Arabidopsis thaliana: one gene and its partner. The protein of the gene in region 1 interacts with the protein of each later gene in a biochemical or structural test. Each region holds a gene or a part of one and is shown in the gene's direction. Other genes may lie near its edges.

Region 1 (4,322 bases):
CACAACTGTTGGAGTTTCAGTGATCACTGCTGCCTTCTCTTCTTCATCCTCATTTGTCTTCTCTGCATCTTCCACAAACACTTCTTCCGGGTGTTGATTCACCTCCGTCTCAACGATCTCTACTGCTACTGAAGTCACGTGTTCAACCTGTAAGCGAAAACACACTTATTAAACGAAAAAATGCATGCCGTTTAAACGGCGAATAGTCCATATCACTTGATAGACATAGATTTCTAGATACATGATATATATATATATATATATTAACAACGAATATGAACCATAGATACAGGTTTATAGTTTGACAAAATAAAAATAAAGAGAATATATACCTCAACGGTGGCCATTTCGAAGGAAAATATAGTGTATGTGATGCTTTGGTGTATGAAGAGATTTGATCAAGATGAGAGGTATTTATAGTAGAAGCAAACCGTTTACAATAATGTTTTTTCAAACTAAATATCTATTAAGATAAAATTATTAGTTTTTTGAAAGAACCATGATGATGATTATTGCACATGAACGAACCTTTTTTTTGCTTATATATAAAAGCAATTGTACTATTTTACACCTCATGCCCACATAGTATGGGGTGACTGGAGAGGGCTTTAGAGGGTAGCTGTTACTTTATATAAGCTGTAAAGTCTTATACTGTGATTTTTATTTTTTAAAAAATAAAGCTATGACTTAAAAAAAAATATAGTTTTACGAATTTTTACTTTAAAATAAGTTGTAAAGTTATATACATACTGTAAATTTTATTTTAGGAATTTTTTCATATTTTTAAAAAGTACAAAATAAAATATTGTTTTTGTTATTCCTCAGCTCTTGTGAAAAATCATTACTTAATCTTCATTAATCGATTGTTTAGGTCTTATTAATCATGTGTTGAGTTGGGACCATGATTAAGCAATAAGAGTCATTTACCTCCTGTCAAGTATGCATATGCATATACTTTTGGTTGTTGAATATTGTTGGTTGCAAGCAGTACAATCGGGAGAGAAAGGATCGAAAGATCGACAAAGGTGTTGCTAAAGCTGAGGGTGCTGATTAATCAAGGATTAATCAATACGATATCTGAAGCTAAAACTAGAACACCAAAATGTTGATTCATGATCTTAACTCCTAAACATTTCCTTGGTTAATGAAAGAGTTCGTTCATCTTTCAAACCATTGACAATAATAGCAGCTGTCACCTCTTCTTCACCATTACGGGCTTCTTCTTGATGTAATGGTGAATAGTAAGGCCTCTATGCTGTTATACAATGCTTTAAGTACAAGGATTTAAAAAATATTTACAAGCCTTTTTTTAAGAGTTTTAAAAGGATTTACAATGATTTTAAAGGATTTTAAAACTTTTATAATTCCTTTTAAAGTCATTTGAAAACTTTTGTAAATGCTTTCAAAACTCTCAAAAAATTTTTTTTTTTTTTTTTAAACTCTTAAAATTATCCTTGTTGTATATATTATTTAAAGCCTTTTAAACCCTTAAAATATATTTTACAATGGTTTTAAATGATTTATAAGGATTCTAAAATATTGAAAAAATGTTTTAAAAAGGATTTTAAAGTATTTACATGTATATTTAAAAACTTTATAAGGATTTTAATAAGTTTTAAAATGGTTTACAAGAGTTTTTAACAATTTTACAAAGCTTTAAAAAACTTTACTAGGATTTTCTAAGAATTTTTAAAGGATTTACAATGGTTTTTTAAGGGTTCTAAACAAAATTAGAAAGACTTTAAATGCAATTTTTTGGCGGGAAAAAACAGAGAAAATAAAATTTTGGCACTTAAAATTTAGGTGGGTAAGTTTTGGTTTCTAACTACATGTTCTCATTAGATTTGATGATGATTAATTTAGTCATTTTGGTTAAGAAAGTGGTTATTTTTAAAAATGGGCCAAAAAAGGATATCATAGTAGAATTGTGGTTTGGGCTTAAAAGCCCATTACCCCTCCCCTAATTAGTTTTCAACTTTTCATGGAGTCTTCGGTTTTCGACTTTGGATCGGAGTCGGGGAACATGAATTTCGACGAGACCGTGCCACTGAGCCAACGATTGGAGTGGTCAGACGTGGTCCCATTGACTCAGGACGATGGTCCGAATCCAGTGGTGCCAATTGCCTACAAGGAAGAGTTCCGCGAGACTATGGATTACTTCCGTGCGATTTACTTTTCCGACGAGCGATCTCCTCGCGCACTACGACTCACGGAAGAAACCCTCCTCTTAAACTCCGGCAACTACACAGTAATCAATCTTATAATTCATATAATCAACAACTATCTGAACTCTTATGGTTTTGAAATTTGATGGATTTTAGTCTTTTATTGGTCCTTGTTGCTTCAATTTTTAGTCTTACCGATATTTTTGTTTACCTTTGAAGGTGTGGCATTTCAGGCGCCTAGTACTCGAGGCCCTTAATCACGACTTGTTTGAAGAACTCGAGTTCATCGAACGCATTGCTGAGGATAACTCTAAGAACTACCAACTGTGGTAAAGTTCATACCTTTTCACACCTTGTTTGATCTATGTGCTTTTGATCATGAAAGTCTATGAGTGAGTTATACTTTTGAAAATTGTCTGATGAATAATTTTGAATCAATAAATGTATATTCTACTTCTCCATAGATGAAAGTTTGTTCTTGTACACATTGTTAAGTTCATAGTGTCTCATATCTGCTGATTATACAACGTTAAAACCCTTGGTTGTTTGTTTTGAGTTTGATGGTCCATGCTTCTGCTCTATGTTTTCCTTTTCTCTAGGCATCATCGGCGATGGGTTGCAGAGAAACTGGGTCCTGATGTTGCAGGGAGAGAACTTGAATTTACCCGTAGAGTACTTTCACTTGATGCCAAACATTATCATGCTTGGTCACATAGGCAGGTTTGCGATCTCAAACCTTGTTAAAGCATTCACTTGGGGTATCATTGCATATCTTTTTGTTTGATAATATGGAAACAATCTGCAGTGGACACTACGGGCATTAGGAGGATGGGAAGATGAGCTCGATTACTGTCACGAGCTCCTTGAAGCTGACGTCTTTAACAATTCCGCCTGGAATCAGGTAACTTGATCGTTGATACACATACGAAATTCTGTATCTCTAATCTATCAATTGCCGATTCTGTCACCTATTTGTATAATCTCATTCCCTTAATCTGACAGAGGTATTATGTCATCACCCAATCTCCTTTGTTGGGAGGCCTAGAAGCCATGAGAGAATCTGAAGTAAGCTACACAATCAAAGCCATTTTAACCAATCCTGCAAACGAGAGCTCATGGCGATACCTAAAAGCTCTTTACAAAGACGACAAAGAATCCTGGATTAGTGATCCAAGTGTTTCCTCAGTCTGTTTGAATGTTCTATCCCGCACAGATTGCTTCCATGGATTCGCTCTGAGCACCCTTTTGGATCTTCTATGTGATGGACTGAGACCAACCAACGAGCATAAAGACTCAGTGAGAGCTCTAGCTAATGAAGAACCAGAGACTAACTTGGCCAATTTGGTGTGTACTATTCTTGGTCGTGTAGATCCTGTAAGAGCTAACTATTGGGCATGGAGGAAGAGCAAGATTACAGTGGCAGCAATTTGAATATGTGACGCCCCAAAATCACACTTGAAAAAGACTTGATTATTAGTTTTTACGTATGTACTGCTTATTTATGAATCACATGTTCATGTTAACATGTATCAAAACAATCTTGATTTCTCAGTTTCCTTCGCCTTGTGATATTCAGAGAAGCTTTCTCAAGAATGATTTTGCATCACACACTTTGACTAAACGCATTGCTCTCTCGATAACCGGAAGATCAAAACCGAAACCGGGTTTTGGTTTGGCTCGCGGATTTCCCCAATTCAATTTTAACGACAAAACTATACTAATTCATAAGATTAAAAAAAAAGTTTCTGAAGTGGTCGAAGTCGGAAGCGTGATTTGGTCGAAAGATTGGTTCTTTCTCCGACAAGAATTATGTCCAAATCTGGGTTTAGTCTGCTGTTCCTCGTTCTTCTACTTATCATGGGTTTCTTATTTCCGTTGAGAGTTTCTGCAATTAGGTGATTAATTTTGGGTAACAACCATTGCTTCTATGAATTGTCCCGCTTAGTTTCATTTCCTTGAGATTTTCGAATGAATTTGCAGGAAGGATATCGGATTTTTGGAAGAGCGGAGTTGCAGAACAACTGTCCAAGGAAGATACTTGATCTCCGATGATGAAGGTTAGCGATTTCCACTCTTGGAAAGATTCACCTTTTTGAACATTTTGAATCTCTTTCGACTTAGATTTGGTGATCCATGAATGGTTTGTTGTTGCAACTT
Region 2 (5,116 bases), on another chromosome or scaffold:
AAGAGCGTTGTGAAGATGCTTAAGATGACCATACTTAGGCTCTTTCTCTAAACCATATTCATCAAGAGGTGCATCATCGTAGTATCTAGTGGTCACATAATGTGCAGAGGTTCTTCCAAAGTTAGTCCCTCCGTGGTACTACAAGATTAAAGAACCATTTTGAGAATTTTGACAATCATTTTTGCATATATGGTTAACTCGAATGGATCATAATTTTTACCATGTAGTAGTTGACATGGGTTCCGTTCTTGGAGAAGAATCGAGCAACTGAATACGCGATATCTTCTACTGATCTTTGAGTTGGCGGATCACCAAACACGCGGAACCTATTGAAGAAATTGGCAAGATATTCAACACTTATATGAATGAACCTAAGGTTTTTACATGTTTAATTCAAGAGTAAGAAAAACAAACTCACTGAGTAGTCCAATTCTCAGTCCATAAAGATGGTTTGTTTTCTCTGTTTGGACCGGGGAAAGTATCACCGCAATGTCTTCCATTACAAGCATTGATCTGTTTCCACAGTGTTTTCAAATATTTTAAAACTTTCTTCCTCATTCGGATAAAACACAATCATGTAAAAATGAACTTTACCATAGGATCAGGAGCGTCGTTCTGCTTGCACATAACCCATGGGATCCCGAGTTTCATTGAGTCCACCAAATTAGATGCCCATTTAATGTAGTTTAACCCGTCTTGTTTATATGCACGTTGAACCGCGCTATATTCGTTTTCTATCTGCAATTCATATTCATTCCAAAACTCATCATTTTATAACATTTTTCAAATCATATATAAATATATAGGTTTCTCTTTTCTTTGTTGTCACCTGTCCTAATATAATGGGGCCTCCTTGTGACGCAAACAATCTTTCCTCCTTCATTTTGTCGAGTATCATCCGTACATACCTTTCTGTATGCTCCTGCAATATTTTTATGGTCATATCTTGTAATATATCTAATTGTAACAAAACACACATTGACATATATATAGTAATTCTATGTATAATACCTTGAATTGTTTATTGTCTGTACGGAAGAAAATTCCAGGAACTTCTCTAAGCCAATAAGGAAGTCCTCTGATCATCACAAAGAGATCATATAAAATGTTAAAATGAAGATCTTGAGAACGCCGAAAAAGAAGAAGAAGCAATGCATTATTACCCATGAGTCCATTCAGCTTGGATGAACGGTCCAAGCCTTAAGGTCACATACATTCCATTCTTTTGAATCAACTTTATGAACTTCACCAAATCAGCTCGTCCCGAAAAGTTGAACTGATGAACGCAACACAAAATACATTATGAATCCTAAAGATTCATGCATGCGTGTTTTATATGTTCTATATATAGATCAGTTTTTGGTTATGAATTACCTTTCCTTGTTGAGGCTCATGTACATTCCAGAAAACGTATGTCTGAATCGTGTTCAAACCGCCTTGCTTGGCTCTCTTGATGATACTTGGCCACATCTAAACCAAACCCAAATGACACAATAATCTCAATATACAAAAAAAAAAAAAAAACGTTTTAGAAAAACAGAGATTATGTGATTCAATAAATACTTCCGGAGTGCTTCTCGGGTAATGAATAGAGCCAGAATAAAGAAGCTCTCTTTTGCCATCGATGATCAAAGAGGTTCCATCATATGTCACCTCCTTATTACTCTTCTTCTTCTTCTTGGCGTCCTTCTTGGCCGCGAAGGAGGAAGAAGACGAGAGGAGAACGACAAGAACAGCTGTTAAAAGCCATCGATCAAGAGAATGTTTTCTCATTGAACTCTCTTCTTTTTCTTTTTTGAATTAATTTTTGGTGTCGTACGTAGAACAAGAAGCTAAGTTCTCTTGGAACCTCGTCCTTGTCGGAGGAATAAAAAACAAGGAGAGCTCAAATAACAAGCTTTCAGAAAAGAGGATGATATAAGAGAATGTTTCGCACTCAGGTTTTCAGGTTTCCGGAGAAATTTACGCGTCTGAAATAGAATCCACCGTTGTAACTTTGAAACTCTCTTCATTTTTCCTTTTCGATTTTTTTTTTTTAATTTGTTTTTGCTATTTTTAAATGTTGGTTTCACCCTATTCTTCGCCTATTATGTTGGACATAACATAACAAATTAGTGAAATTACCATTCGTTTTTTTTGGGTCCCCATAACAGATTCTTTAACGGTCAATAAGTGTTTTTAAAATTAACGGTCAATAACTAGCTAGACAGATTCAAAAGGTAAGCCTTTATACCGTGATTGGTTATAAAAATATTAAATATTGACCTTAAGTTCACGTTTTTTTTAGTGTCTCAACATTTATTTCTTAGAGAAGTTGTATGTACATTTTTAATGTTTACTTCAACATACCGGGACAAAAATATTATCATTTAACATGTAACAGAAGAATATGTATCCAAAGGAGGCTGATCAATAAAAATTAACACTCCAATCATATTGCATTGTAAAACCAGCTATATTTTTTATTGATATTTAAACCATAGTTGTATAATCCTAATGACACATCGGAAAAATCCTCTAAACCAGTCAAAATTTAGCTAAATTTTTTATTGATATTTAAAGATCAATCTAAATATGTATAGATTTAGGCATTTAGTATATGGGCTGCATAGTATTAGATGAAAACGAAGTTTAAAAAAAAAAAAAAAAAAAAGTACATAGAAATTATTATTATAATTTTCATCCCATAAATTTTTGTAGGGTCTTATGTTGGGAAACGCACTATCTAAGAAGAAATGCTATTTTATAAAATTTTAGTAAAAAGAAGAAAAAAAAGGAAGAAGAAGACCAAGAAATTGAGGTGCATGTGAGGATGAGTAGTAAAAATTAGGAAGACTCTAGTCTGGGAGAGACTTTCAGCAGCTATTTCTTTGTCTTCTTTCTCTTTAAAGAACCTCACTCTCTCTCTCTTTAGTCAAAAATCCCCAATTCGTGAACAAATTAGGGTTTTTGAAGTTTGAAGAAGGAGAGAAAGATGAGTGCTTCAAGGTTTATCAAGTGTGTCACTGTCGGCGACGGTGCTGTTGGAAAGACTTGTCTTCTCATCTCCTACACTAGCAACACTTTCCCCACGGTTAGCTTTAAAGTTCTCTTCTTTTACTTTGATTTCGTGAAATTTTAGCTTGGTGAAGTTGGTTTTGTTGTTGAAGCTTATGAGTTGGATTTAGTCACAAGTATTTGTTAGGTTTTCTTAAAGTCTTCTTCTTTCTGCTACCTTAGTGAATGTACTGATGTGATCTTTAGGATTTGAGAGACTCAGAGATTCATGTACCGTAGCAATGTTGTTGATCTGTTTAATGATCTTAGAAAGAGTGTTAGGTAACTTTCTGTAAGGAGATTTTGTAGCTGATGTTTTAGTGGAATTTTCTATGTGACAGGATTATGTGCCAACTGTGTTCGATAATTTCAGTGCCAATGTGATTGTTGATGGCAACACTATCAACTTGGGATTGTGGGATACTGCAGGCAAGTTGTTACCTTGGATTTTTTTGTCTTTTGAATTTCCTCCTCTTCCAGAGAGTCATTTGTGTTTTTGACTTGGTGAAACAGGGCAAGAGGACTACAATAGACTAAGACCTTTGAGCTATCGCGGTGCAGATGTCTTCTTACTTGCATTCTCACTTGTCAGCAAAGCTAGCTATGAAAATGTTTCTAAAAAGGTTTGATCTGTGGTCTTCTCCTGAAACTTCTTTCCTGTTTTATTCAGTTTACATTCAGTGATTCTGATAGAATACATTTGGTATCTTGCTTTTGATTCTTAGTGGGTTCCTGAACTGAGACATTATGCTCCTGGTGTTCCCATCATCCTCGTTGGAACAAAGCTTGGTTGGTTTTTTCTTAGCTCAACTCTTAATCGCCTGATTATCGGGGGTTTTCTGTTTTGGGGAACTCTTCTGATATTTTGATGACTGAGTCTCGTACAGATCTTCGAGATGATAAGCAATTCTTTGCCGAGCACCCTGGTGCTGTGCCTATCTCTACCGCTCAGGTACCTTTCTCATTATCTTTCTAAACTGAATCCTAGGTGTTAATATTCTGCATGTTTCATATTTTGATGGTATCAAAACAGGGTGAAGAACTAAAGAAGCTGATTGGGGCGCCTGCTTATATCGAATGCAGTGCAAAAACTCAACAGGTATTAACCTGAGAGTCAATATCTTTATCTAATCTTTACCTGTCTAAAACCGCCAATTGAATCTGCTGATGATTCCTATATCTGTTATCTGTTCAACAGAATGTGAAAGCAGTGTTTGATGCGGCTATCAAGGTCGTTCTCCAGCCACCAAAAAACAAGAAGAAGAAGAAGAGAAAATCTCAGAAAGGTTGTTCTATACTCTGATTCAACAAGAAGAAAGGAATCAACAGGAGAATTAGAGCTATAAGTATTTGTTTTCTCCTTTTTCATAACTTGTTTACCCAAGGAATCAAAAATCTGTTGTTTGTAGTCTGAAAATGACAAAAGTTGAAGAACTAGTAACAAGTATTTGTATTCTTGTTTGCATTTTGATCTGTAAATATACCACGAATCCTTGATTTCTCTGTTTCCTAGATTCACACCAATTGTCTTAAGGATTATGTTCCAAACCTAAAGACAATGAGAGCTTACACGCGCGAACCAATGAGAATGAGAGAGCACTTGTCTTTCTTGGACAATAGTATCTAAACCAGCTTATTTGAAACCTTCTGAATGAGCCAGAGTGTCTTCCATACATATCAATTCCACATAGACCTAACCTGATCTTTAGACTATAATCTTCAATGATTTCAGAACCTCAAAACTTTTGATTTTACATTTTTAATCAAATTTATTTGATATTCATTTTGCTTATTGACTAGACGTTTTCCCCTTGGAGATAATAGAATGATTGATTTTAACTCTCACCGGAAAAGACAAAAAAAAGGAAAAATAAATCATTGATTAAATAAAATTTATGGTGAATAAGCTTGGCTTCTCTTTACCAAACATATATGTTTGTTGATCAATCTCTTTCTTTGCGTTATCTGCCCCTTGATTTAGACCCACGTATTATTCGATTCCTAAACTAATTGAAATGATTAGATATGTGTCATGACGTTTAGTGAACTAATATTCACCTAATATGTCTTTCAATCACTT

What was found. The genes of interacting proteins can lie anywhere in the genome.
Region 2: of the proteins of FTA (region 1) and RAC3, one has a biochemical effect on the other in vitro, tested with the Arabidopsis thaliana proteins (one study listed by BioGRID).

Annotation. Positions count from the first base shown.
Region 1 is NC_003074.8:21,942,186-21,946,507, forward strand, and holds FTA (farnesyltransferase A), read left to right. Parts: upstream 1-1,984; 5' UTR 1,985-2,023; coding exon 2,024-2,248; intron 2,249-2,384; coding exon 2,385-2,494; intron 2,495-2,764; coding exon 2,765-2,885; intron 2,886-2,970; coding exon 2,971-3,066; intron 3,067-3,167; coding exon 3,168-3,596; 3' UTR 3,597-3,822; downstream 3,823-4,322. Other genes in the region: AT3G59370 (Vacuolar calcium-binding protein-like protein), read right to left, coding at 1-147, 333-347; AT3G59390 (glycosyltransferase family protein), read left to right, coding at 3,975-4,060, 4,146-4,222. UniProt on the Arabidopsis thaliana protein: Essential subunit of both the farnesyltransferase and the geranylgeranyltransferase complex.
Region 2 is NC_003075.7:16,670,202-16,675,317, forward strand, and holds RAC3 (RAC-like 3), read left to right. Parts: upstream 1-1,990; 5' UTR 1,991-2,042; exon of another isoform or gene 2,043-2,219; intron 2,220-2,582; exon of another isoform or gene 2,583-2,630; 5' UTR 2,631-2,653; intron 2,654-2,717; exon of another isoform or gene 2,718-2,764; 5' UTR 2,765-2,974; coding exon 2,975-3,073; intron 3,074-3,377; coding exon 3,378-3,465; intron 3,466-3,549; coding exon 3,550-3,659; intron 3,660-3,761; coding exon 3,762-3,825; coding exon of another isoform or gene 3,826-3,905; exon of another isoform or gene 3,906-3,923; coding exon 3,924-3,988; intron 3,989-4,069; coding exon 4,070-4,135; intron 4,136-4,234; coding exon 4,235-4,339; 3' UTR 4,340-4,588; downstream 4,589-5,116. Other genes in the region: BGAL11 (beta-galactosidase 11), read right to left, coding at 1-138, 221-326, 419-513, 595-738, 830-922, 1,012-1,078, 1,164-1,276, 1,375-1,470 and 1 more. UniProt on the Arabidopsis thaliana protein: Inactive GDP-bound Rho GTPases reside in the cytosol, are found in a complex with Rho GDP-dissociation inhibitors (Rho GDIs), and are released from the GDI protein in order to translocate to membranes upon activation.